3 linked regions of the Pelodiscus sinensis genome follow. The protein of the gene in region 1 interacts with the protein of each later gene in a biochemical or structural test. Links are inferred from orthologs where the notes say so. Each region holds a gene or a part of one and is shown on either strand. Other genes may lie near its edges.

What was found.
Region 2: of the proteins of MAPKAPK2 (region 1) and ZFP36, one has a biochemical effect on the other in vitro, tested with the Homo sapiens proteins (2 studies listed by BioGRID). The link is inferred for Pelodiscus sinensis from reciprocal best matches to the Homo sapiens genes MAPKAPK2 and ZFP36.
Region 3: of the proteins of MAPKAPK2 (region 1) and ZFP36L1, one has a biochemical effect on the other in vitro, tested with the Homo sapiens proteins (2 studies listed by BioGRID). The link is inferred for Pelodiscus sinensis from reciprocal best matches to the Homo sapiens genes MAPKAPK2 and ZFP36L1.

The regions. Positions count from the first base shown.
Region 1 is NC_134737.1:5,843,381-5,852,865, forward strand, and holds the start of MAPKAPK2 (MAP kinase-activated protein kinase 2), read right to left. Parts: upstream 4,444-9,485; 5' UTR 4,147-4,443; coding exon 3,874-4,146; intron 1-3,873. UniProt on the Homo sapiens protein: Stress-activated serine/threonine-protein kinase involved in cytokine production, endocytosis, reorganization of the cytoskeleton, cell migration, cell cycle control, chromatin remodeling, DNA damage response and transcriptional regulation.
Region 2 is NW_027465849.1:4,200,034-4,209,518, forward strand, and holds ZFP36 (mRNA decay activator protein ZFP36), read left to right. Parts: upstream 1-4,203; 5' UTR 4,204-4,327; coding exon 4,328-4,363; intron 4,364-5,760; coding exon 5,761-6,756; 3' UTR 6,757-9,098; downstream 9,099-9,485. UniProt on the Homo sapiens protein: Zinc-finger RNA-binding protein that destabilizes several cytoplasmic AU-rich element (ARE)-containing mRNA transcripts by promoting their poly(A) tail removal or deadenylation, and hence provide a mechanism for attenuating protein synthesis.
Region 3 is NC_134714.1:71,499,703-71,509,187, forward strand, and holds ZFP36L1 (mRNA decay activator protein ZFP36L1), read left to right. Parts: upstream 1-4,010; 5' UTR 4,011-4,204; coding exon 4,205-4,261; intron 4,262-6,385; coding exon 6,386-7,336; 3' UTR 7,337-8,904; downstream 8,905-9,485. UniProt on the Homo sapiens protein: Zinc-finger RNA-binding protein that destabilizes several cytoplasmic AU-rich element (ARE)-containing mRNA transcripts by promoting their poly(A) tail removal or deadenylation, and hence provide a mechanism for attenuating protein synthesis.

The sequences.
Region 1 (9,485 bases):
CTTCTATTATTTTGTCGTCCAGTTGGTGAGATCCCTTTGGGTGCATCTACACTGTTTCCTTAGCTCACAGTATGCTACGCAATTTGAGCTATGCAAGTTGTGTAGCTTATTTTGAGTTAATTTCAAAATAAAGCACTAGTTATTAACCGAAACATCCTTTAATCCTCGCGGAACGAGGTTACAGGGACATTGGAATAGTGCGCCCGTTACTCCGAAATAACAGGTGCACTCAAAAGATCGGAATAGCTATTCCGGTATCCCAAAATAGTACCACTGTCTACGAATATGTTGAACTGAACAGGTACTAGTACAGATGCTGGGGGAGCCTGTTATTTACCTCTTTCTAATGTGAAAACTGACCATTTATTCCTACCCTTTGTTCCCTATCTTTTAACCAGTTAATAATCCACGATATGCCCTTCCCTCTTGGCAGCCTACTTAGCTTAAGATCCTTTCACGTGGAACCTTGCCAAAGGTTTTCTGAAAGTCCAAGTAGTCTGTATCAGCTGGAATGCTGTTGTCTATATGTTTGTTGATCCCCCTCAAATAATTCTAATAGAGTCTTTGGCATGATTTCCCTTTACAAAAGCCTCCTTCCCAACAAATGGTGTTGATCTGTGTTGGATGATTCTGAGTCATTCAGAAGTTCTGAACAATACTCTACAAGTTTATAAACAGATCCACCGCCAAAGAACAAAAAGCAGCATTTTGATCTATCCACACTACACCTTTACCTTTTAGACCTATATCTTGACAGGAAGTATCCAAAACTCACCGGACAAACAAACAGCTTGTCATACACCCTTGTCCGTTAGATATCAACAGAGTATAGTTTGTCTGCTAACACCCCGAACTAACAGCACAGCATTTTCTACAGAGCTAGAAGGAGTCACTTATAGCACCAGCTGCGCTGCCCTTTGAACTGACACTGGCACGTTCAATGGCTCCACTAAACCTCTAACTCTCCATAAGACCATGGGGAATGGAAAACAAACATTTAAAAAACTTCTCAGAGGAAAAAATTCAAAGAAGAGTTGAATATATTAGACCTTGTGAATTGATTCCATTTTTCTCTCATTCCTTCTGAGATCTCTCGTGCGCAGGGAGATAAGATGGACAGCTGTAGATGTGTGTGGTCGTAATATGTCCCTTGTTATATGGTAAAAAGCTGGTGAAACAAGCAGGGGATGAGATCTAAGCAAAAAGCTAAAGTCCATGATTTATGCTGAATTCTTGCTATCTAAAAATTCCCTATTTTTAAAATCACTTTATGGATAACTGTATAAATAATACATCAAACTTAGATCCGGAATGTGTCTATAGTATCCCACTCCGGTACTGACAAGTTCATCAGAGCTAGGAGGCTATGATCTTATCTTAGCCAATATTTTGATATGGGGAGACTGCTGACACAAGCTGTGCCTTTCCATATGCCATTCCCCTCTCCTCCTCCTTCTTTTGTTATTTCACTCAGGGAAGTGTTAGCAACTGCTATTTAAGTGGTTGAGTCAACTTGAAAATTAATGGAGAAAAGTGAGTGTCAAAACAGAGTCTGATCCCACTCATTTACAACCTAAAGAAAAAAAAGTCACTGTCTTCCTCAAATGTAATAGTGCAACTAATGAGAAACTTCCTTATTTCCAGAGGGGGAAAAGTGAAATATCTGCCATTCAGTTGAGTAAGTTGAAGAACTTCTTTTCCTTATGATAATGTATTTGCCTTAAAGATTTATCTCCCCTCCCCCACACACAGACACCTCATTTCTGAAGGGGATATGTAACACAGAAGTAGATTTTTTACATGAAATTCTTCAGTATTCTTTTAGGATTAGTGACTTGTTGGCTTTAAGGTGTTATGTTGGCTTAAAAGAAAAAATGCAGTAAAAACAGGAGGCTTTTTTTTAAATCTTCACAATTAAGCAAGATAACGTATAGTGCTTTTGAGTAGCTAACGTGTGGGAACAAATTGTGTTTAAGACATGCAATGTTCAGCTACACTGGAGGAGACAAATTGTACCCATCTCTCCTAATACTTAGCATTACCCATCACAATCCATTTACATTTTCCCCAGGTTCCCTCTAACAGAGAAATACCCTTCCTCACTCCAAAAAAATATATTAAAAAACAGGGCAACCATCAAATTTTTTTGGATGCAAAATAGTATATTTTAGTACAATACCTTATGTATTGATAAACCTTCTAATCAAATGCATGTTAAGGACTTCTGTATACAGATCTAGAACCACAAATGTAACCACATCTGGGGAGAAGAACAGTGGTAGAACAACTGGGCGTTACTGAACAGGGAAAACCAGACAAACATCTATTCTTACACAAAGCGCTACAGGAAGTTTACTGTCCACGTAAAGGAGCATGCATTTTAAAGGGCTCATCCACAAAACACAACAGAGTAAACTTACTAGATTAAATCAACAAGTCCAGAGGTTTCAGTAGAGTTTAAACCCGAGGCTCAGGTCATTAAGTCATCCCTTCCCAATGCTGTTTTGCTTTGTCTTAAATTAAAAGGCCACACAACTGTATTGTGTCTTTCTTAATGAGACTAGTTTACACAGCAATGGAGTGCAATAAAGTCAGAAAGTGAAACTGACTATCCCCACCTCATTGTTTTTAATTGCGCTCAGCTGAGACAGATAAAGTATGTTTGTTAAAAGTCCATGATTTTTTTAAAGTCTTGATTTTTATTGTTACGCTCCACAATATCATTTTTTTTCCTCTACTGCATCCCTATAAACCACTGAATTACTGGTTCTGACTCCATCCCAAGAGACCACTTGTCTTTAAAACAGATTCTCTTTGTTATATTTACATATAACAAAACAGCAAAAAATGTTCCTTTCCTTTCCTGTCAGGGACTAAGCACAGCTGGTAAATTTCAAGTTCTTTCTTTGGAAGCCTAGTCAAGTCAGACTTTACAGAGAAAAACCACTAACCAGCACAGCAAAGATGGGAGGGGAAGACAGAAAATGGGGAATGGACAATCAAAGACATTACAACCTAAGAGGGGGGCATTTGTGTTCTCAGAACCACAACGGAATTTATTTCTCTGACAAGATACACTCTTTCCTCCAGTGATCACTGAAGTGCCCAAGGCCATAAGTGCTGGAGGGAGGAGGATCTCTTTGCTCTTTCTTCTCCCCTTCCCACCAGCCTTTTTACCAAACTAATTGATCTGAAAAGAAATCAGAGCACACGGCCTGCCCTCCCTCTGCGAACACCAACTGCTTTGATCAGTGGATCCAAGGAGACCACGACTAAACAGACACACAAAAGCCCAACTCTTTGAGAGGCAAGACGAAGGGTCCTATCCCACTGCAGGCCTCGGGGAGCTCCTAACTGGGGGGTTTCTCCTCTGTCGCTGGGAAGTCCTGTTTTGCAAACGGAGGGTGGGGGAGGGAATGAAACGCTGAGTTTCATTTGTTCAAAAGGCAAAGGATTAGATCATCCAACAACCCCCCCCCTCCCCCTCCGGAAAAAAAATATCAGAGGCAGAACTTCCCCGGTAGACCTTCGCCGTAGGGGGTGGGGGATTTGGGCCCACACCCAAAGCAGAGGAAGAGGCTACCACGGGCGCTCCGCGGTATCTGCCTAGACAGAATTTAAAGCACCATCTTTTCTGCCCGTCAATTCCAGGGAGGGGATAATTTACACCAAGCAAGCATGGCTCAAATGCCCCCCCCCCCCAAGTAACTTCAGAAGCCCGCCTCTCTAAAGACAGTGACACTTCTGTGTCACTCCTACAAGAACAGCCTGTGCCCAAGAGGGAGGAGGGGGACATAAGAAGGGTGGAATTAAAAGAGGAAAAGATGGGAGGGGCACACCAGCTCCCGCCCCCCCCCCTCGCCGCCAGCTTACCTTCAGAGCAAATTTCTCCACGCTCTTCTTGTTTAAGATTTCCAAAACTTTCCCGTTGATGCCCAGACCCAGCACTTGCGTGGTGACCTTGTAATCATCCGTGATGGCATTTTTCTTGATCTGGAGGCCTGATTTCACGTTGAACTGGGGGAACTGCTGCTGGATGGGGGGGTGCTGCGGGGGCAGGGGGTGCTGGTGGGGCGGCGGGGGGGGCGGCGGAGGCGGGGTGGGGAACAGCACCTGGGGGTTGGGGCTAGGAGAGTTGGACAGCATAGCAGCAAAGCCGGGGCAGCCACAGCGGCTCCTGCCCTTGTCGTCCGTCCCCTCCTCCCCCCCCACAGAGGGAAGTTTGATCTCAACAGGCGCAGGGGGGGGGAACTCAATCCCCCGCCGCTTAGAAACGGGGGGAGAAAACAATCCCCCCTTGTCCCAGGGAAGGCTCCGGGCGGAGACTGCTGCTCAGCCCCCCGCTCTCTGAAGGGGAGACGCTGCTGGGGGCCCCCCACCCCTCAACCCCCCCACCCCCTCCCCAGGCGCGTCCCTGTACCCGGCCGCTTCGCTCTTGGAAGGCGAAGAGAGGAAAAAGAATTGCTACAATGTAGCAGACTCTCTCCCCGGGTCAATTTCACGGCACTGATGTCACAGCCTCGCGTGGATTGGCTGCCTCCCTGTGGCGGGGCGGGCCCAGGGGCGTGGATACGGGGGAGGGAGGAGAAAGGGAAGGAGAGGCGATGGGGTGGGAGGGAGAAAGGAAGGGGGAGGGGAGGGAAGTTAAACTTTGGGCAGGAATCTCAGATTTGGGGGAGGTAACAAATTTGCAAAGGTTGGGGGCATGTTTACTTCACCCACAGGGGAGGAGACTGGGAAGATTGCCCCTCTCCCTCCCCCCAGTGATCCGACCCCACACAGACCTGCCAGTTTTCCTCTAGCTGTCCCAGTATCACCAAATGTCAGGATTCCGTGAGGGTCCCCCCGCCCTCCCCCCATCCCTAAGAAATAAAACATTTGCAATTAAATTGGTGCTTCCTGGAGGCGGACCCCTTCATCCCATCAAACCATTCCACATCTGAACTGTGCCATTGGCTGTAGGCAAGTCCTAATCTTACCCTGAGTGTCACGTCAGTCCCCTGGTCCTCACCCTGCTTACAAGGCTATCGCTCAGTTACTGGAAGGGAGACAGCCTGAGAAATCTTTAGCAAGAAGATTGGAGAGAAATTTGTTCAAGGGAGTCCAACAGGAAGGGCCTGCTAAAATATAGGGTGGGCATCGACTTTTGATTCTGTGTCTGGTGCAGCGCCTAGCACAGTGGGGTCCTGTCTGATGCCTGGGATTGCTTGGTGCTAGGGGAGGAGGAGAAGACACATTTAGAATAAGAACCGCTTGTGCCCACACTGCCTTGTTCAAATGCAGTGATGTTCACCATGAATGGACAATAACAAAGACAGGGTGAAACTGACCCCTCTGCAGAGCGAATACTTTGCTTCACTTCTGATCTGGAAACAGGGCTTAAAGGAGAGCTATGAAGGGCCTTTGGCCTTGATCTGGGACTCACAGGGGTCACCCCAAAATACAAGAGGACCATTAATCTTTCATTCAAATATTCCCTCCTCCTCCCAGCAAAAGACCAACACCAGAGAGCTGTCTGAATAAGGATGGGTTTCGGAAAGCCTCTGAAAATAAGGATATGTGGATAAATAAGTGACATTTGGTACAGTAAGGGTACACAGAAACATTATTTTGGAATAATGAATGTCGTGCGCCTTACCCAGCCACCAGATATAGATGTCCATGGATGACTATGGTGGTCCATGACAGCCTGCAGGATTATCAAAAAGTACCCCTTCTGATCCAGGTTAGCAACCCTACTTACTCCGTCCCCTGGCAGGGCTTTATGAAGGCAGGACTGAAAAACCTCCCAGGAAGGAAGCTTCCACCACCAACACCAACACCACCCTCTTTCCATCATCCTCCTGGGACAACAGCCAGAGAGTGCCATACCTGCATAATGATCTCCCCACGCCGAACTGGTTCTCATCGTATCAGTAGCTGTCTGGTGTAGCGAGCTTACACAGGGCGATGGTGACCCACTTCTTGAAGGGGATGGTGGGTCTCATGAGGGAGTCCTGTCGCCTGAGGGCAGGGGCGAGCCACTCACAGAGCTCCAGAAAGGTGTCCTTCCTCATGCAGAAATTCTAGAGCCACTGCTGGTCGTCCCACCACGATGAAGTGGTCCCACGCAAGTCCAGCTGTGTTAATTATGTAGCTGGAGTCGGTGTACCTTGTTTTGAGTTTCCCGCCCATCCCCACAGCTGGAGGCCAATGGCAACAAACACTCCAGATGGCTTCCCTTGCTCCTTGCAGAAGCAACAGAACTGGATGCCAACATGGGCGCCCTCTGAGTTCGATTTAGGGAGTCTTAACTAGACCTGCTAAATCGAACTCCAGAAGATCAATCATGGCAGCATCGATCTTCCATTGAGCGAAGACATGGCTTCAGACACCACAGCAGTGAGGGCCTGATTATTTGTACTAGGAGGTCACCTAGGACATCATCAGCCATCTTGCCTCCTTGAATTTTCTTTGGTTGTTTTTGTACTACCCAGGAATCCCCTATAAAGCGACAAGTGAGCAATAGGGAAATCAGGGGATATTTTGCAATTTATGTGATAAAACCAAAACACATAGCAAGAGTTCAGTGCACCGCAGGCTTCCAGATCCTCCCAACGGGGAGCCAGTTAACAAGCTTCCCACCGTTTTCAGCTTCTTCCCTGTCTCCCGAAGGCATCCACAACATTACAAATTAAAATGTCAATGGGTAAATAATTACATTTGCCAAAATGCCCTGGTTTTTTGATGAGCATTTATCTACAATCAATTCCCATGAAGACAAGAGACATGGAAAATAGAGCCAGCAGCGGGAGTGTCAGGGAAAGGATAAGAGGTAAAAAACTGTTCTTCAAAGGACATCCCGTGGAGAGCAGATTAACCTGCTTCCATGTTCAGTCCAGAATTCAATAAAGAAACTCACACACCTCAGCACTGGGCCACAAAGATAAGGAATCCTTGCCAAGAGCCAATTTATCATTCAGCAACCTGGTATCTGGCGAGAGCCAATGAAAAGCTCTTTAGTTGGGGCTACAGGGAAGGAAGGCAGAGATTTTTCATTTATGGGTGTGAAATGGACTGCACTTTAGAAGCATTTGCTATGCAGTGACTATAGAAGAGTCACTGTCAAGGTTCAGCCATGCCTTTTTGGAGTCACTAATAACACCTAATTGTATTTATCTCTTAATTCATATATAGGATTTTCTCTGGCGCCCATCACTGTAGTGCCTGATGCTCTCACCAACACTCACGCACAGGCCTAACAGTGACATGGCAAAGCATTCATGTGGAGTGTGGGAAATGAGGCAGAGAGAGTTGTGGTAACTTACCCAAAGTCACAAGCAGTGAATGGCAGAGCAAAGAACAGACACAGATCTCCTCAGTCCCAGCTCGCAACCCAAGACTATGTCCGGTACTTATGTGACCTTCATTACCACAGTGTCTGAGCACCTCAGAGTCTGTCTTCATTCTCACAATTCCCCTTGGAGTTAGGACAGTGCTATTACACCCATTGTACAGATGGGTAACTGAAGCACACAGCACACAGAAATTAAGGCCTTGTCTATACTTAACTGGACGTTTGAATAAAGATACATAAATCCAGCTCTGTTAATTGTGTAGCTGGAGTCACCATCCCTTAATGTGACCTGCAGCACCGTCTCCAAAAGAGGAGGTTCATGGAAGCAAACGCTCCTGTCAACTTCCCTTACTCCTCATGAATCAAGGAGTACCAGCGTTGATGGGGGTGCACTCAGCATTCGATTTAGCGGGTCTTTATTAGACCCGCTAAATCAAATTCCGCAAGATAAACCGCCATAGTGGTCGATCTTCCCTATAGTAAAAATGTGGCCTAAGACTACGGGCAGTCCCCGGGTTACGTACAAGATAGGGACTGTAGGTTTGTTCTTAAGTTGAATTTGTATGTAAGTCGGAACTGGTACATATTGTAGGGGAAACCCTAGCCAAACATTTCTCCAGAGTTCAGTTTTATTCTCCCACACCTCACTTCCCTCAGTCCTTTATTCTCAAGCTGAGGTGTCTGCTGAGAAAAGCCGCTCCGCGTCTCCCTGGCCTGCTGGGGGGTGCGCTAGCTTCGCGTGTCCGTGGTCTGCTGGGGGAAAGCAGCTAGTGCGGGGCTGCCTCACCCCGTTTGTAAGTAGGGATCCGATGTAAGTCGGATCCATGTAACCCGGGGACTGCCTGTATATCTGTGCTGCAGCTTAGGGTGTGATTTGCAGCTCATGTAGGTGTACCTGGGCTAGCTTTAATCTAGCTAGTTTACAAAAAACAGCAGTGAGAACACAGCCTTGCAGATCACACAAATCCATGAGTATGTTCTCACTTGTGCAGAACTGCACTGTCACTTCCTCAGGGCTATTTTTACTGAGCTAGCCAGAGTAAAGCTAGTCTAGGTGTGTCTAGAGAGTTGCACCTCGCCCAAGATCACACAGGGAGTCTGTAGCAAAGCATGGAAGGGAATCCAGGTCTCCCAAGAGGCAGGCTGCCGTCCCAACCCCTGACCCGCCCTTCCTGCCAGAGATTAGGAGAACGGAGCATTTTTAAAATCCGGAGCAATCAAAATAATTTGTGCCGTATGGGTCTCAAATCCGGAAGTGCTGTACCCACCTTCCTTCGCTCAGCCGATGACCTTAATTTTCTGCATGTGGCTCTCCTTCCACAATGAAACCAGATTGCTCAGCAGCACACATTTGGGTTCATTGTTGCTAACCCTGCAGGGGGAAGCTTAAATGGGAGGAAAGAACATTTTTTGCTGCATTTTTCTTCTTCAAAAAACAGCAACAAGAATATCAGCCCCTGGGTAGGAACCACACTGTGACAAAGGGCTCTTAATATAGGAACAGACATGTGAATGTTGTGGAGCCAACCCCAGCCAACCAAGAAGAATGAGTCAGCTCCCCCCCCCCCCCAAGTCATGAAATTGGCTTAAAATCATTCTTTAAAATGTAATGGAGGGGGGAACATGGATGGTGGAGCTGAGATTCTCCCATAAACACCAGATTCTAGCTGCTGGGGTTATAAGGAAAAACAATAGATGCTGCAAGTAAGGGGGTTGACACACACCCCGTTTTGGAATGATTTCCATTATATAGAGAGCTTACAGGATATAACCCCCCACTATACATACTGTTCCAGAGCACCTGGCAAAAACACCCGCTACTGGAAGACATGCTATAAAACCATGGAAGCTGGAAATAGACTGGATGAGAACCAAAGAAAAGGCTCGGGGATTTTGGTACATGATGGCAGTTTCCAAAGTGTCATTATCTTGCAGCCAGCTCAAGGCCTATATGAACCACTTAACTGCCGTTTAAGCCCTGGTTTGAGATCGTAGGGCTTTGGCTGGACTTCGCACAGCAGTGAATTTAACCCAAAATGATGACGGGTTAAAAAATGAAAGCGGCATTCCATTGCATTGTTCGATGTGACGTCTTTCCTTTAACAAGACACACAGTAGATTCCTTTTTAGCTCAATGCACCATCTGCCA
Region 2 (9,485 bases), on another chromosome or scaffold:
CCCCAGGGAACTTCAGGGGAGTTTTTTCCTCCTTCTCTTGGGGGCCAGGTGGGTTGCATTTGTTTGCTTGTTTGCTTTTAACTTTTCACTTGTGTGTGGCCCCCAACTGATTTTTCTGTGGATCAGTGGCCCCCTATCCAAAAAAGGTTCCCCACCCCTACTTTAAAAGCTGTCTTAAAAGGGCATGGGAGCAGGGGTGAAGAAAGGTTGGGTGACAAAAGTGTGAAAACCACTCAGACAGGTTTTTCTGCCTCCCATTGTCAACATTTTATGACCATGTGGCTAGCACCCTGTGGACAGATAGAGCAAAGCATTGTGGGTAAGCATCCCACAGCGCAGTCCTGCAGGAAGGCAGAGCTGATCCCTGTGCTTCTTGGGATTTCCTCCTAGCTCTGTGAGCAATCTGTGCTAAGGAATGTCAAGGCAGCACAGCCCTCTCTCCAGCCCCCCATCAGCTGCAGAACAGGAGCATTTAAATCATTTGCACTTTGTTCCCCAAAGGGAGCAGCTCACTCAGCTGTCAGATACTTCCTGGAGCTTTGAAAGGGGAGGGGCTAACGTCTGCAGGGCAGCAGCGCTCACAAACCACTGAGCACATCCATCACGGCAGGCACTGTGGGCTCCTGGCAGAAACCAGTTCTCTCCACAAAACAAACAGCAGAGGCCACGCTGGGTCTTCGCTGACAATAAAGGGAGGGAAAAGACAAAAGTCTCTCCTGGGGGTGGCAGCTTTGTGTTGCCAAAACTGGGTGTTCTTACTGACAAAAGTTGCATTGTAGTGTAAATGCGCTCACTGTTTTGTCGCCAAATGGCAGATTTTGGTGACAAAACATGCCAGCGTAGACAAGGCCATCAAATGCCCATGTCAATTTACAGGGGTGGACAGAAAAGAAGGGAGACTTTAGAAGCAAGCTTTTTGTACTATAGTAATTAAAACTAAAATGTGTATTTTAGATAAGGGTGGTCTTTTGAATGGTGTATTTAAAAATTTACATGTCTAATGATCAACGAATGTAAGGCTAAAGATGAATATTCCGATTTCATCCCAAAATATCTATGCAAGGACTTTTTAGAGATGTGACTTTTATAATCATCAGAAATACACTAATGAAATATTTTAAAGCAAATTTTAAACTAAGGTCTTATAGACTAACATGGTCTGAGTAAATATTACAATACAGGGCATCCCCACTATGTCACCCTAGTATACATCCGTTCCACACTGAAGTCGTTGACGATTGAAGGAACTGATGCGCTATAAGTCCTCTCATTCCCTGCTACAAGTCATGCGAAACACTTTCCTCCAATTTGCTTAAATGGAAGTCAGCCACGGGGAAAAAAATTCCCCGCTTTGTTTCACTATAAATCCAAGTTTTTTGGAACGTATCTTGGACTTGTAATGCACAACTGCCTGTTAAATGGTTCCACTGCCATTTGAACGGCTCTTCAACAATATAAATGTTCTGCTCATAAGTCCGGTAAGCTGAAAGGTTTTTCACTTTTAAATTTGAAGATTCCCCAGGCAGCAGCCAGATGTGGAAGCCTGCAAGAAGGATCAACCCTAGACAGTGGACACTAAGACCCAGGGAAAGCCATGTCTTCCCTTGACTCTTATACCCACCACCCGTGACAGGGAGGGAGGGACTTCCCCACTTGCTCGTTTGTTTGTTTCCAAAAGCGGTAATGTTGACCATGCACCTTGCTGCAAGAAAGGGGAACCCGGAGCCGAATTCGCTGCTTCCGGAAACCACCTGCTTCATGGGCGCTGGAAACAGTCCTTGGCTAGCAAACTGAGGGCCGAAAGGTGGATTCAACATAGGGACATGGGTGTTGGAGACCTGGGGAAAATTCCCACCTTCTCCTAGTCCCCACGGTGCTCTGGCTGTTCTCTGCCCCCCCAGGGCCCATAGGGCACAGATCTGGGCCGTGCCTGGAGCGCCCTGTGCTGTGGCTGTTCTCTGCCCCCCAGGGCCCATAGGGCGCAGATCAGGGCCATGGCTGGAGCGCCCTGCGCTGTGGCTGTTCTCTGCCCCCCAGGGCCCATAGGGCGCAGATCAGGGCCATGGCTGGAGCGCCCTGCGCTGTGGCTGTTCTCTGCCCCCCAGGACCCATAGGGCACAGATCAGGGCCATTGCTGAAGCGCCCTGCGCTGTGGCTGTTCTCCGCCCCCCAGGGCCCATAGGGGGCAGATCAGGGCCATGGCTGGAGCGCCCTGCGCTGTGGCTGTTCTCTGCCCCCCAGGGCCCATAGGGGGCAGATTAGGGCCATGGCTGGAGCGCCCTGTGATGTGGCTGTTCTCCGCCTCCCAGGGCCCATAGGGGGCAGATCAGGGCCATGGCTGGAGCGCCCTGCGCTGTGGCTGTTCTCCGCCCCCCAGGGCCCATAGGGGGCAGATCAGGGCCATGGCTGGAGCACCCTGCACTGTGGCTGTTCTCTGCCCCCCAGGGCCCATAGGGGGCAGATCAGGGCCATGGCTGGAGCACCCTGCACTGTGGCTGTTCTCCGCCCCCCAGGGCCCATAGGGCGCAGATCTGGGCCATGGCTGGAGCGCCCTGCGCTGTGGCTGTTCTCTGCCCCCCAGGGCCCATAGGGGGCAGATCCGGGCCATGCCTGGAGCACTCTGCGCTGTGGCTGTTCTCTGCCCTCCAGGACCCATAGGGCACAGATCAGGGCCATGCCTGGAGCGCCCTGCGCTGTGGCTGTTCTCCGCCCCCCGGGGCCCATAGGGTGCAGATCGGGGCCATGCCTGGAGCACCCTGCGCTGGGGCTGTTCTCTGCCCCCCAGGGCCCATAGGGCGCAGATCGGGGCCATGCCTGGAGCGCCCTGCGCTGTGGCTGTTCTCTGCCCCCCAGGGCCCATAGGGTGCAGATCAGGGCCATGGCTGGAGCACCCTGCGCTGTGGCTGTTCTCTGCCCCCGAGGGCCCATAGGGCGCAGATCGGGGCCATGCCTGGAGCGCCCTGCGCTGTGGCTGTTCTCCGCCCCCCAGGGCCCATAGGGCGCAGATCAGGGCCATGGCTGGAGCGCCCTGCGCTGTGGCTGTTCTCTGCCCCCCAGGACCCATAGGGCACAGATCAGGGCCATGGCTGGAGCGCCCTGCGCTGTGGCTGTTCTCCGCCCCCCAGGGCCCATAGGGGGGCAGATCAGGGCCATGGCTGGAGCACCCTGCACTGTGGCTGTTCTCCGCCCCCCAGGGCCCATAGGGCGCAGATCGGGGCCATGCCTGGAGCGCCCTGCGCTGTGGCTGTTCTCTGCCCCCCAGGGCCCATAGGGCGCAGATCGGGGCCATGCCTGGAGCGCCCTGCACTGTGGCTGTTCTCTGCCCCCCAGGGCCCATAGGGCGCAGATCAGGGCCATGGCTGGAGCGCCCTGCGCTGTGGCTGTTCTCTGCCCCCCAGGGCCCATAGGGCGCAGATCGGGGCCATGCCTGGAGCGCCCTGCGCTGTGGCTGTTCTCTGCCCCCCAGGGCCCATGGCAGAGAGTTGTGCCACAGGACAGGGAGCGTCGCCAGCCCATTCTGGCTGGCCGGGGACAGGACTCGCCGCTCCCATTGTGCAGGGCCCGGACACGCATTAGAGCAGCCCAGAGGCCTCGCTGCCGTGTGCGCCAGCGGCTGGGCGCGCGGTGCCCCGCTGCCTGGGCTGGGCGGCAGGGCTGCAGGAGCGAGTCCGCCCGCTCCCGGGCGCTCGCCCTGCGGCCCCCCGGCCCTGGAGCCTGCAGGAGGGGGTGGCGGCCTGGGCCGCGGACAGAGCGGCCTCTGCTGGGAGGAATGGAAACTGCGGAAAAGTTTGTTTCCCGGCCTCAGAACCCCCCCAAAGTTGGTGCCCCCGCAGAAAAGACGCAGCCCCCTTCAGCCGGGGGGGGGGGGATTCCCAGCAGGGCCGACCCCCGTTCCCAGGGTGAGCGGGTAGCAGCTTGTTGGGGGGGAGCAGAGACAAAGCCCCCAGTATCAGGACGGTGGCCTCCCAGGCCCGTTCCTAGCCCCCCCCCCCCCAGCAGTTCACTCCCTTCCCCCCCCCAGCAATTCACTCCACCCCCCCCTTTCCCCCCCCCCGGCTTCGCCCGCCCCCGAGCGCCCGGGTTGGTCTTTTCCCACGCCGGGCGCGGGGCCCCGGGCCCCCGGAGGGCGGGTTTCTCGCTTCCCATTGTAACGAGATGAAGTCATGGGAGGCGGGTCCGCGGCCGCCTTATATAAGGCCCTGCAGCCCGCCCGCCTGCCACAAAGCTCGGCTGAGCCCTGGGGGGTATTCGCGGACTCCCACCCGGGGAAGGAAGGCAAGAAGGAGCCGCCGCCCGCCCGTCGTCCCGCCGCCTCTTCAGCATCGCGATGAGCTCGATCATGGATGTAAAAGCCTTGTACGAGGTAAGCGGCTGCGGACCGGGCGGGACTTGGCAGCGCTGCGCTGCCCCCAATTGCTCGCGGGCTGGGCGACCCGATTGCCCAAAATCGGGGGGGGGGCTAGGAAGCAGCCCCCTCCTCTAAAAGAAACTCCTTTCCCCCCTTATCCCTCCCCTGGGAAAAGGCCCAGGCAGCTGCCAAACCGGCTCTACTCCGGAGCTGCCAATTCGGCGCGATTTGCGTCTCCACGGGCGAGTTTTCGCGCGGGCGGGAGGCGAGGGACTCTGATCCGGAGCAGCGCCCGGCCCGCCCGCTGGCGCGGTCCCTTGTTTCTAATGCCAGCTCCTCCCGAAGTGACGCCGCTTGGCTGGCGGCTGGCTCGGGGACCGAAGGACCCTCGCGAGCCACCCCCGGGGCGGAATCAGAACTTGTCCCGTCCCCCCCCCCCCCCGATGTTTGTGCGACTCACCCGCCGCTTCCCCACTACTCCGCTTTCGGTAAACGAAGCGTAGTGAAGCGGGGTGTGGCCGTGTGAACTCCATGCCCGTCCCCAGCTCCTCGCGCCGGGAGCGACCCCTGCGCCTTGCTGGGGTGGGGCTCCAGGGAAGGTGCCCCTCGCCCCTGTTGGGGGGGGGCCGAGACTTTCCCAGCGGCTAGGGAGGGGTTACAGTGACCTAGAATGGTGTTCCTCCCCGCCCCCATGGCAGACGGAGGGGCTGGGGAGGGGCGCGGGGGGGGGGGGGGATTTGGCAACTACGGGAAGCAGTGGAAAGTGAGGGAGGGGTGCATCTAGCAGGCTGTGCGTGGGGGCGGTGTTTGAACAGGGCTCCTCTCTGGATCAGTGGTGCGCCCCCCCCCTTGGAGTGGGGGGGGGCAGTGGGGAAGCCGTGGGGGGAGTGGAAAGAGTCAGGGAGAGAGGGCGGTTTCCCCGGGATGGTGCATACACAGAGGCTGGGAGTCTGCCTCCACCAGTTCTGTATTTCTCCCCCCCCGCGGACTTCTTGGGGCACCTCACTCTCTGCTCCCAGTGCCCCAGCACTCCTGGGGGCTGGCCCCTTATACTAGGCTGGCAGAAGGCCCCTTGCTTGGGGCGGGGGGGGGGGGGCCTGCCAGTATAAAAGGCCTAGTTGTGGCCAGGCCTGGATGCTTATAAATAACCCTGGCACGGTGCCATTCAGGGGCTGAGTCACCACAGAGCTTGGCCTCCTGGGAGGGGGCCTGGCACTGAGCAGAGCCAGGTGCTCAGTTCGATGTAGGCCACAGGGCCGTGCCCAGGGGCCTCTCACCCAGCCCCATGGGTGTCTGTGTCCTGTGGGGGGGGGGGTGGAGGGCATGGCAGAGCCGTGTGTCCCTAGCCTCCAGGATTGGGGTATCTGAGCTGGGCATTAATGCCCCCTTTTTCCTCTCCTTCTGCCCCACAGAACCTCCGCAACCTGAATCTGGGTGAGGAGCGGGATGAGTCCTTTCAGCGCCGCCATTCTGCCAGCTCGGAGCACCTGGGGGGCAGCGACACCCACATCTGGCCCCTGCGCACCCTCTGGAGCCCCAGCACCGAGCAATTGCTCTCCCTGCCTGAGCCAGCAGCCCCGCGCCCGCCCTTCCGCACCGACCGCTCCCTCAGCATGATCGAGGGCAAAGCCCTCCCACCCCCGCCCCCCGGCTTCCCCCCACTGCAGCCCCCGCCGGCCCCCGCCCTCTCGTCCCGCTACAAGACGGAGTTGTGCCGGACCTTCAGCGAGACGGGCCGCTGCCGCTACGGGGCCAAGTGCCAGTTTGCCCATGGGGCTGCGGAGCTGCGGAGCCTGAGCCGCCACCCCAAGTACAAGACCGAGCTGTGTCACAAATTCTACCTCAACGGCGAGTGCCCCTACGGCTCCCGCTGCCACTTTGTCCACTACCCGGAAGAGCGAGGGCTGTCCGCCTCCCCGCAGATTCTGCGACAGAGTCTGAGCTATACCGGGGTGCCCACAGCCCGCCAGGGCTCCCCGCCGCCCAGCATCCCCGACCCGGCCTCTTTCACCCGGGCTCCGTCCATCTCCCCGCCTCCCGCCAGCGAGCTCCTTGCATCCTCGCTCACCCATCTCAGCTCGGAGCCCGTGTTTCGCATGGCCACTCTGGGAGAAACCGTGGCCACCTCCCACTCTGGAGGGTGCTGCACCTGCCGCTGTGGGGGCAGCACCAGGCAGAGCATCTTCGAGAGTTCCCGGGACTATTTTTCTGCCGCCCCGGGGACGCTGATTGCCTCCAGCCTCCCCAGGACCCCCTCGTCCAACTCGCTCTCCGACCAGGATTGCTACAGCAGCTCGGGTAGCCTGAGTGGCTCCGAATCGCCTGTCTTCGAGCTGCTGCCCACTGCTGGGACCCGGAATAGTGCCCACCGTCTGCCCATCTTCAACCGCATCTCCGTGTCGGAGTGAGTGGCCCTGCTGCCCAGCAGGGGAGGGCGGAATCGGATAAAGGCCCAGGAGGGGGGGGCAGGACAAGAGACTGGGGGCGTTATTAGATGCATTGATGGGGCAAGTTTGCGATCTGCTCCTGGGTGACCCTCTGGGCTTGCCTCCAAGACACCTTCTGGACAACCCAACCCCTCTGGCTGCTGGCCCAGATATTAGGGGAGTGGGTGCCCATTGGGCACAACTGTCCAGCCACATGTTGGCATGAGCTACTCCTGTCTGCAGGTGGTGGAAGGGGGTTGGGGTGGCCTCCCCCAGTGTGGGACATGAGCTCCCCACAGTGGGGGTAGGACAAGCACCCAGATGCCTGCCAGGCAAGGCTAGCTCCCTGCCTGGCTGGCTGTAGCCATGCTTAAAGGAACTTGTCTCTGCTGCCGAGCATTAGCACTGATGGCTCTGCTTGTGCCTGGGGAGGGGCCCTAAATGCCCTGGCCACGTGCCCCTTCCGTCTACAGACCGTCATCCTGCCTGCCTTCCTCCCACTGATTGTCCTACAAGTGCCAGCTGATGCTGCCGAAGTGCCTTCCCCAAAATCCGTCGGGAGTGCTCACCTGCTGCTCCCCATGCCTCCCCCACTTCAGTCTTTCCTCTGGACTTGCCTTCAGTACGGAGGGTGAAGGGGAGCCCCTCGGGGCCAGTGTGCATCCTCAAACAGACTGACTCTGGGGCAAGCGGAGTGGGGGGTGCCCTTGTATGTGCTGTATGTAGCAGATTTGGGGGAGGACTGCCTCAGCAAATGGGGTTTCTGGGGGGGAACATTTGGCTCTCATGGTGCTGCTTTGCTCCCCCACCTTTATGGGGAGCCCTGATTTCATGCTGTGAATATTTCAGAAAGGGCTCCCTGATCTGGTGATTGTTTTCTTGGCTCAGATCCATCCTCTTTTTTAATCCCCTTTCGGGAGGAGCTGAGCAGGGTGAGCGGTGGGGGTAGTGTCCCAGCCCAACAGCCAAAGCATCCTCCAGTATCTTTGAAATAATGGAGTAAACGGATAGAGCTGTAGCCTTGTGCAGTGGGAAGCCTGGATGCTAAGTAGCCACATATACAACCTAGCTTCTGCATCACAAAGATACTCCAGTAACAGCCCACCCCGACTGTAACGTTTAACAAGCAAGGGGCGTTGTATGTGTTACTGGAGAACTTCCCCCAGGCTGGGACAGAGTAACCCTGGCTTCCGGACCCCTCCGATTGACTGGTGGTGCAGATCCCTTTGGGAATCTTACGCAGTCTGCCGTCATCCTGGGGCCTGTGAAAACTGCTGGACTTGGCTTGTATGAAACAGCTCTTTAAGTTGGGGGAGGGGAATGCACTAGTCCCCAAGACAGCCGACCGAGTTAGTGCAGTACGTAAGGCTGTGGCATATGTGGAGTATTTATTTTAGCGAGGGGGTGATAGCTCTGTTGCAAAAGGGGGGAAGGGGAATTACTTAGAGCAGGAAAGGTCTGAGGCCTTAAAGGGATAACAATCGGACCACCAGCCCGGAAGTGGGGAGTAAGGCAGCACTGAGAGCTGGCAGTTTGCAATCTAGGTGTGGCTCTCCCCCAGTATCCACGCGGGTCGGGAGGGCGGGGCTTCTGTGCCACTTCCCCATGTGAAGCTCACTCAGACTCGCCTGGCTGTATGGGCGGGTCGGGTCGGTCTCTAAAGTCACAGTGTGCTGGTCTGCCTGTGCCAGGGACCGACTCCGCGGCGGTGGGGGGAGGGGATGCCGAGTTTGCGTTGCCTACCTCTTGCACAAAGTGAGCCTGCAGAGTGCTCCCCTCTTGCTTGCCGGCATGTGGTCAAACTCCGGACCCCTCCCCAAAGTCTTAAAGAGGCTGCAGCTCTTTAGAACCACCTTCAGGGTTCCCCTTTGCCTCCGTTTCCCCCCCCCCCCCCCCCCAATCCCCCAGGCTAAAAACATACTTTTTCTTAAAGGCAAGCTATGGGTCTGGTCACATGACACCTGCAGCTTGGGCTTTTGGGACCTGCACTAAATATTTCAGCAACATTGGTATGCTGCTGGGATCTCCTGGCTGCCCTCTTGGCCCTTTCTTTCCAGCTCAGGCCCGGTGGAGATTTTTCATGTTCCGCTTGCGTGCTAACAATTCCCTGCTTTTTAACTCTGTTGCTGTTGAAAGCAAAACCAAACAAGCTGTTTACTGTGGTGGCGATGAGAGAACAGAAACCAAAATTATTTATACAAATCTTATTTATTCGACAGAATTTTATATTGTATTTATCTTTTTTGTAATATGCTGAAATAATATATATTTTCCATGTTATTAAAATTAATTAAAAAAGAAACCCAGCCTGATGTAACCAAGAAGCACGATGTTTATCAGTGACAAATGCTTTTTTTTTTTTTAATCATCATTGTGGTGTTTTTATTGCTGAATCTTGAGGATTTAAAAGAAAGATGGTAGAAAGTGTGTGTGTGTGTGTGTGTGTGTGTGTGTGTGTGTGTGTGTGTGTGTGTGTGTGTGTGTGTGTGTGTGTGTGTGTGTGTGTGTGTGTGTGTGTGTGTGTGTCACACCAGACCCTGATGTTCTTTGCAACTCCTACTGTGAGTTCCCAGACACAGAGGCTGAAATTCTATTATGGCACATCCTCATGTCTTCATGGGCCTCCTGTCCTTTTTTTCTGTCTCCTCCCCCTCCCCCCCACCTCAAAGCTGGTGGGATTTTAAGAACTTGGGGGGAGGGTAGGGGGAAGT
Region 3 (9,485 bases), on another chromosome or scaffold:
TAACTATTAGCGATTATTAGAAGACCAGTAGAGGGGGTGGGGAAGTAATTATCCTACATCTGCCTCATGCAGGCATTTTCATCCTTTCCTCTGGAGCATCTGGTACCGGCCACTACCTGACATAGGATACTAGCCTACAGGGGCCAAACGTCTGAGCCACACTGGCAGTTTCCATGTTCCTCTGTGTGCATGTGGACTCGTTAACACTCATCTCTCCCTCTCTTTTTAAAATGGTGTCAGTGGGTGAGCTTGATCAGTAAGAAGACAAGCCATTGGCCTATGCCTGAATCTGTTGATGAAGGCTCACGTGATGGCAATCCAAAAGTAGCGCCTACAATAGAGGCCTACACAGGAAGAAGACCACCAATTTGACAGTGCTGGCTCCCAAGTCCATTTGCACCATCCAAGCTGCAAAGTAGGGTGTGCTTCATTGAAGAGCTACTGCATGAACTCCAGAGGGCACATTACATTCAAATGAGCACATGCATGTGTTTACTCAAGTTTGTGGTGGCTAGAAATGTTTCTTTTACTCTTTTAAAAATCAAAAGCCATAATTAAACTCAGTGCAAAAATGTGATGGTGATGTTATATTTGAGAATGGACACCGCTGTTTTTTCTGCCTCCAAAGAGGCATGCATAGGTGCACACACAAATTCCTAATCTGTGTGTGCATATGGCTAGTCTGGTTTGTATTTATCCAGGCACATTCTCAAAGGAGGGATTTGCTTGTGCACAAATCCAGGCATACCTCGTGGCTGAAAGTCAGGCTCTCACAGTCTAAATCCAGATTCCCTCAAAATTCTTACTGGACATCAGTGCAACCAGCATTTGATCCTACATGCACAAACGTTTTGAAACAGAAAGCTACAATTCCGATAGTAAGTACGTGTATATTGCAGTCATTTAATATAACGCACAAAATATGCGCAATAATGCTAAATATAATCGATGTACACTGAGATGAGTTGATTGTTATGGGGCATATAATAGAGAGTCCAATCCTGCATTTCTTGTGCACACAAACTCACATTCAAACCCGCATGAGTTCAGTGTGCATGGAATTCAGGATAGCGCCCACTCTGGCACACCTTCCACTCTTATCCCGAGTCCTTTGAGTAATCAGTATTGCTCTGTACACAGTACAGGCAATCAGATTCACTTATAAAGCCAGGCTCCAGGCAAAGTGGTCATGAAATAGTTATCTGTGTTGGCTTCCTCATTTGGACTTGGTAACCCTTGGAAAGTCCCTGGAATGACGTTTCCAACCTAACAATTAAAAAGGATTTAATTATAGAGAGGCTCAGAGCTCTGGGAACAAGCACCATCCACAGAGCCAGTAAACAACTGCAGAAAATAACATGCTCAAGCTGCTCTCTCTGCTGGTTGCTTCTCACTTCTGGCAAAAAACAAAACAAAAATGAATGAAGAAAGAGAAGGAAAATTAGAGGAACTAGTGTTCTAGCCTCAAATAAAGAATTAAAAAAAAAAAAAAGAAATCTGGAAAGGCCAGACTCTATGGGTGTTTGCTCTCACTTCGTTATTTTGGCTGCTCTTGGATATTGAAGGAGGGGGGGAAAGATCAGCAGCCAGGAAGACAAGCTTAAAGCCCAGTTCCTGAGACTGAAGCAAACAGAAGAGGAAATAGGAACAGGGATCATTTGTTTTACGTTTTAAAAGTGCTCTCTCTGAGGTGGGCTCGCACTCTGGACTCTGCAGTTAGGGTTTCAGTTCTCTGTGGAAGTCTGGGGCTACGTGAGGAAGCAGAATATTCAATACCATAGTGAGATGCATTTTAAGGAGGGGTTCATAGTCCAAATCTCATTCTGGATGGATTAACAAGGGACCAAATCCTACAGTCCTTCCTCTGACAACATTCTCACTCCCACTAACTGTAGGGCCAGTGTTGCCTGAAGAAGCACTGAAAGTTTTGACCCAACAAAAGTTTCACATTTAAGGAGCCCCACATTAGAAGCCTTGAAACGTAAGCTTCTTATAAAGAAACCGCTCCCCCCTTCCTTCCATCAATATCAGTATACATAATTCTTTGTGTACTAAAATCTGGAATCGATTATTTGCTAAGAAACTTTACTCCTCTCCCCAGCTTTATGATTTAAAATTGCTAAAAAGTGCCCTTTGGGGACTGGGTAAAGAATGGAGGGCAAAGGGAGAAATTAGCAAACACCACTTTCAGGACTAAACACATATTTTAATGATTTAAATTAATATGGATGTGAGTTATTTCCTTTCCAGAGCCTGCCAGGTTTCAATAAAAATTGGAAAAAAGTGGTAAGAGTAAGAGGGTGGGGGATGTGAATCAACTTGAAGACAGTCAGCCTGCAAAAATGCAAAGGCAGCAGCAATGTTAAAAATGGATTCAATCAATTTAAATCAAAGTAGACAAATCCAAGCCAGCCCAAACTGGAAACAACGCTTTCTACTTGTGAATACAATGCCCAGTTCAGCTGTAGCCCTTAGAGCTTAAACCATTAAAGTCTAAACAGTTTGTGAGTGTTCTGGGGTTTTATTTTACATGGATTAAATAAGTTTTTGTTAAAATTTGTTCAGGGAGAGGAAAAGAATCATACTCTTATTTTGCCCTTCTAAAGAAACGTGCTTATAATTAGGTGACCTAATTATATTGCAATGGAAAATACACTTAACACACACATTGTTTCATAACAGATCGAGGAGTTAAAAATGTTGTGGAATAAACATCTGAGGTCCGGAATGGGTGAAACTTACTGTAAAAAGGACGAGGAGGCGACAAAGGACAAATGGAAATATATAGGAAAGAAAACAACAGTTTAATATTTCCACTTCAGTCTAGTATTCCATTTCAGAGCTTCAGAGGGGAAACTGATCAGCTTTTGCAAACCTGTTGCTTGCCTGATGCAAACAGCAGATAAAGAAGTTTATGGGTTGTTTTTTTAAGTCGGTCTGTCATGGTTCAATCAATGGGTCCCGCTTTTGTCTCTCACTCCCCCAAAAGAAAAAAAAAGGAGTGAAATCAAACCTGGATGGACTGAAAAACCATGTATTACATTCAAAGAGGCGAAGGGACAGGAGCACAAAATGCAACGGGCACTCACGAAGAAAGCGCAGCCCGCGCAAACACAAAATTCAAGGGAACTGAAAGGGCCTTGTTTTTTGTCCGTGCTGTGGCTTGCTCTCTGATCGCCTTCTCAGAGATCAACGTAAATAGATGTCTGCCAATGTGTTCAGTCAGAAGGAAAGCTAAGCCGCTGAAAACTAGGTCCCTGCTTACTGGGGTTAAAAGACTAGTTCTCATGGGGGAGGGGGGCCAACCCATAAGCATGCAACTGGTGTCCAGCAGGGAGCAGAGAGATTCGATCGGAAAAAGCAAACGTTCCTCCCTGTTTCACAGACCCGAGCGCAGGCTGCCCTCCTCGTCAGTTTCACAGTAATTACAGCTGGGAGACAGGCAGATGAGTCTCGGAAAAGATCAAGTTTTGTTTTGTTCTTCTGCTCGCCCGGCCCGACCACAAAGTACGCAGCTGCTCGCGCACGCACCCTGCCCGCTCTCCGGCGGGCTGCGAGCTGCAAGGGAAGCGGGGGAGCTGGTGGGGGGGGGAGGGGGCGCTGCACAGACTCAGCTCCAGGCCTCGTGCCGTTTGCAAAAGCTCAGTGCAAGCCGAGCGAGGGGGGGGGGGGGCGGATTCGCATGACGTCACCGCCCATTGCATAATTCCAGCACTCACAAAGCAGCGCGCGCCCTCCCCCCCCCCCGCCTTCTAATCACAACCAAGTTGCACATGCACGCGGGGGGAGGCGGGGCACTCTGCAAAACTTTCCTCCTCGCACCCGAGCGCGGCACTGAACGGGCTCGGGCTTTGCCCCCCCCCCCCCTCTTCCTCTCGAAAGTTTTCTCGGGCCTGGGGTGAGTCAGTGCGGATGTCAATCATCGCCCTCCTCCGCCCCCTCGGCCGCCTGTCAATGGGCCGCGAGCTCCGCCCCGGCCGGCCTGGCCGCTCGCAAACTTTATAAATCGAGTTTAGGCGGCGCGGCGGGGGAAAGCGAGCTGGGGCCGGAGCCAGGCGCGGCGGCGGCGGCGGCGGAGCAGGGGGGGAAGGAGCCGGAGCGGGGCTGGAGGCTGTGCCTTACTCACCGCGCCGCGATCCCTTGCGCCGGCTGCTGCTGCTGCGCTGCCACCCTCCTGCTCCCCCTCCCCCCGCGATCGCCCAGCATGTCCACGGCTCTGGTGTCTCCCACCATCTTCGACCTGAGCGAAGTGCTGTGCAAGGTACATGGGCTCGTGCGCGGGAGGGGCTGCCCGGCCCCGCTGCCCCAGACCTGCCCCTCCAGCGTGGGCGACGGGGGCTGGGGTTGCGCTGCGAGTTGCGCTGGGGCGACACTTTGCTCGCCAGCCCTTCTGGCGCTCGCCGCGGGCAGGGCGCGTGGCCTCGGCGCTCGTACGGCCCTCGCTGCTTGAAATGAGTCTGGTCCCCACCCCGCCCCGCCGGGCTGATCGTGGCTGGGTTGTTCCCCCGCTCTCTTGCTAGCAGGGGCTAAGCCAGTCCCGGCGGACTTGCGCAAGGGCGTGACCGCCTCCTCGGGCTGGCTGGCTTTTGGAAACCGGCTTCTGCCGCTCTGCGAAAGCTGTGCAGAGGTACTCGGTCGTGTGGCCAAACTGCTGCGTTCCCTTCCCCACCGTCTCCTTCGCCCTCCTCCCAAAAACCTCCAGGCCGTTGCCTTTGATGTGTGTTGAATAGTTTCAAGCCTCCACTGCCAGGAACCCGAGTAGCTGTGTTCAACTGGTGAAGCACGTTTCTCGTCTCCCTGGGCTTTGGAACTGAGACTTTTAAACGCACTAGAAACGCAGATTTTCCTCTTTCGCGTGCTTATGCGTGTGTCAAGGCAACCCCTGGCTTTGGAGAGCTGTGTTACGGGGGGGAGTTGATAGAAGGAACTCTGGGAAGCTTTTTCTTGAGGTTTTTGCGCGGCCACTTTTAATGGCTTAAGTTTTAGGCTGCTGCTGTAACGTGCCTGCTTCTTGTTTGCTATGATTTTTTTCCCAAGCTAGCTCTGCTTCTACAGTTGCACATTTACTTTAGGGCAAAAGGATCTGGGTGAGGCGGTTACTGTAATAACCTTTGCAGGCTAGTGTGCTGCACTCTTGCAGTTTTACTTTTCTTTCTTTCCTCCTCTTCAGATCAGCTTTGTCCCCCGTGCTCCTCTGCAGCCCCATGGATTTATCCTTTGTGTAGCGAAATTCTTTCTAAACATTTCTTAGTTTATAAGAGCTGATTTAAAGAGGGAGAAAAGTACTTTTTCCTCCTACTCCTGAGATTTTTTCCCCATGGTTTGAAATGATCGGCATAGAATGTTTACAAATAGAAATTCTTGTCTGACTCAGTTTTTGTATGTTTACTTAAGAGTTGACAATGAAGCTTTACTATTAAAACAGGGGTAGGAGTTGTCATTCAATATGTGAGAGCAAGGGCTATGCCTCCCCTTTTTAAAAATAACTGTTAAATCTGCTTTTCACACAGTAAGTGCGACTGTAGCAAACCCCTATAATTTCTCTCCCCAAAAGAGGAGTTTTAATATTTAAAACTTGAGTCTGCAGCTGAAGTAACTGGTTCCTGATCCCTGCCAGACTTTCCTTGCAGCCCAAAGGCTAATTGCAAAGGAATCCTCTTGTGGTTAAGAGTGAAGACTGGCCTGGATCAGATGAAATGCCATTGCTGTGCTGGAGGACCAAGAAATGAGATTAATTTAAATCAGTAATTAGTACACTTTCAAAAAAGTCTTATGCATTTACCAATTTGTGTCTCATACATAGGGTTGTCCAAGATAATGTTTCTGCACTCTTCTGTAGTGCAGAAAAATCTACAATTCTAAAAGCTTTCTACAATAACCTCCAAACTTAGAGAGGTCTATGGACAGGGAGGAGTAACTTGAAAAAGAGATGACAAGAAATACTGGTTCTTGGGCCTGAAAGGGGTCCTGAACCTGGTGGAGATGTGGTTGTGGGTTTGGCTGTGAAGTGGAGTGGGCAGTTACTTCGCCCTAGGGGAGGATTGTATACATTTTGTAGAAGAATAGTGGGTTTGGCTCTTGCAGACACAGCACTAGGTATGGGTAGGTGGGGCACCCAAGTTCTTGCCTAAGGCTGGGAAGGTTATATGTATTGCAGGGTCATTGTGGGTAGGTGGGGCACCTGTGGTCCTTACATGGCACCCACTGCCCCAGGCAACAGGCTGATTAGCTGTTCTAGGAAGTGGGCTATTTGAAGCAGGGCTATTTTGCAGAGAGAGTGGGGCTAGCTTTGAGATCCGAATGGATGTGGTCAGTTTAACTGGGATTGAGCTGCAGGGGAGAGCTGGAGCAGACTGGGTGACTGTTTCTTGCTTTCTCTTCACAGAGTAACAAGATGTTGAACTACAGCCCTTCAGGTGTTGGAGGGTGTCTGTTGGATAGGAAGGCAGTGGGCACCCCAGCTGGCGGGGGTTTCCCCAGGAGGCACTCGGTCACCTTGCCCAACTCCAAGTTTCACCAGAACCAGCTCCTAAGCAGCCTCAAGGGGGAGCCGGCCCCTGTGCTGGGTCCTAGGGAAAGCCGTTTTCGGGACCGCTCCTTCTCCGAAGGTGGCGAGCGCCTGCTTCAGCAGAAGCAGCCCGGGGGACAAATCAACTCGAGCCGCTACAAGACAGAGCTGTGCCGCCCCTTCGAGGAGAACGGTGCCTGCAAATATGGTGACAAGTGCCAGTTTGCCCACGGCATCCATGAGCTGCGGAGCCTAACCCGCCATCCTAAGTACAAGACAGAGCTGTGTCGCACTTTCCACACCATTGGCTTCTGCCCTTATGGGCCCCGCTGTCACTTCATCCACAATGCCGAGGAGCGCCGTGCTGTGGCCGGGGGCCGGGACCCCACCATTGCTGACAGACCCCGCCTCCAACACAGTTTCAGCTTTGCTGGCTTCCCCAGCGCTGCTGCCAGTGGGCTGCTGGACAGCCCCACCTCAGTCACCCCACCACCCATCCTGAGTGCTGATGACCTTCTGGGCTCTCCCACCTTGCCAGATTGTACCAACAACCCCTTCACCTTCTCCAGCCAGGAGCTGGCCAATCTCTTTGCCCCTAGCTTAGGGGTGCAGGTGTCCAGTGGTGGTTCACCCACTGCTTTCCTCTTCAGGCCTATGTCTGAGTCCCCCAATATGTTTGACTCGCCCCCAAGTCCTCAGGACTCCCTCTCTGATCAGGAAGGCTATCTGAGCAGCTCCAGCAGCAGCCACAGTGGCTCAGATTCACCCATCCTGGATAATTCAAGACGTCTTCCCATCTTCAGCAGACTCTCCATCTCTGATGACTAAACTGGGTTTTCCTTTTGCCCTCTTCCCACCTCTATTACAATGCTAAGCTGAAATACCCCCATCCCCCTTAATGCCCCCCAATTATCAGGGTTAGGTGTTAACATAAAGGTTGTCCACTTGCCTGTAGCTGACTCACTGGCTTAAACCTTAAGTGCCAAATTACAATAAAAAGCAATAACCGTTTACAAAATTAGTGCCTTTGAACATTTTCACTGTGACTGTATTACCTCTCTGGCTGCAGAGGGCACCAGCAGCCTCCTTTAAAGCTCTGTGCACTTCCAGATGTGCGGGAAATATCCAGAACCAAGTGCTCCCTCCACTGGCCACAATAATGCATTGTTTCTACTTCCCTACCTTCCCATTGGCCAGTCTCTGCTAGACCTATGGCATGTGGACAGCTGTTAACATCCAATCCTTTTCCCCTTTAAAGACTAATCTTGCCTGGATCTGCTCAGGTCTGCAGGAAGAAAAGCTGAGAATGGACAAAGATTGTAACATGAGTGGGACTTGTGATTGGGGGGGAAAAAGCCAGATGGACTATGAAAGACTTGATTTTGGTGCTAAAAGTTCCCCATGTATATGTGTGACATCTTTACAAACAAATAAAAATAGAGGGGGTGGGCTAATGGAATTCATTCCACACACGCAAGTTCCGTGTATTCCAAGTTCCAGTAGACATAGCTTTAATGGTTTTGCTCTAGAGTACATTAGATCTATCTTAGAGCACTCACGCCAAGCTTTTTATTATTTTTTCTGGGTTTTTAATTTTGTATAACTTTTCAGAAATTGGAGAGCAAATTTTGCTTGTCACTGCACAACAATATAAAAAAGCTTATTTAACTTATCAAAACGTATTTATTGCCGAAACCTATGCTTTTTGTTAATTTTGTTCATATTTATCGGGATGATGAATCCATAGAATATATTCTTTTATGTTTAAATTATGATCTTCCATATTAATCTTAAGATTGTGAAGTGTCTTTTCCTTTCCCCCCCCCCCACAGTTTAATATATTATACTACAATGACATTTTTGTAACGTTACACTTTGGTTATTTTATTTTAAAAAAATGAAAAATTAATTTAAAAAAATGCAAAAAGTGTGTTTGGATTATTTATTTTAGAATGTCCCCCTTTTTTGTGTTGGACTGCAAATTGAGTTAATGTACTTCTTTGCCTTTCCTCTTCCTCCTTCTCCTCCCCCCCCAAGGTCATACACACCTGGGCTTTAGAATGTATGTGTATAAGTTCTGTTGTAAGACAGTATGGAAAGAAGACATTTTACTTCCTCTTTTTTGATAGCTTCTTAAGAGAGACAAAAGCCTTTGGCTTAAAGTGCCTATTTGAAGACATTCCAAATGCAGTTTGTCTTTGCCTTTTTTGTATTCCAAGTTTGGAGTTTTCCTTGTTTAGGTGAACGGGACTGGCACAAAGAAAACAATGAATGTAATTTTTCCCCTGTTACTGTTCACTACATTGCTTTTTTTCCTCTGTAAGTTTATTTAAAAAAAACTCTTTTGTAACGACTGTTTGCAGTTTAAATCAATAAACCCCAAGTTTTTCAAGAAACTGACAGTGAAATTGTTTTTTCTTGCAAAAATGAGATGCTGTTTTTAAAGATATTCTGCATTTGAGTGACTGCTTCCTCCCAACCCATAGTCTGCACAGAGAACTTTGATACTCTACCTCTGTTCAGAGATGAGAATACGCTGCTCCATATAAACAAGCAAACCGGTGCGTGGTTTCTGCTAAGACTACACATGCAGTGGCTTATTCAACCAGGTTTGCTTGATTTTTGTCAAGTTTACATTGGGATCTTCCTCTTGTCTTAACTTTCAGAGTCACTCAGGCTTTTCCCACAAATTTTCTCTTCTGATATTTGTATCTGAATCTCCTGGACTGGCTTTCACTCCTGCCAGGGATAGACCTTTCTTGCACTAGCAGAGTATGAGCGGTGTTTTCAACTAGGCTCTCGTGTGCTTAACTTTCTGATTAAATTATTCTAATTACTTAGAGATTTCAGGGTTTGTACATTTGTAACTTCTAGCTTCTCTTTTAGAGGAACTATGTGTTTAACAAAGGGAAAGAACACCAACTAATAGCAGTTGAATATACTCATGAATATACCACCCCGCAACATAGACAAACCC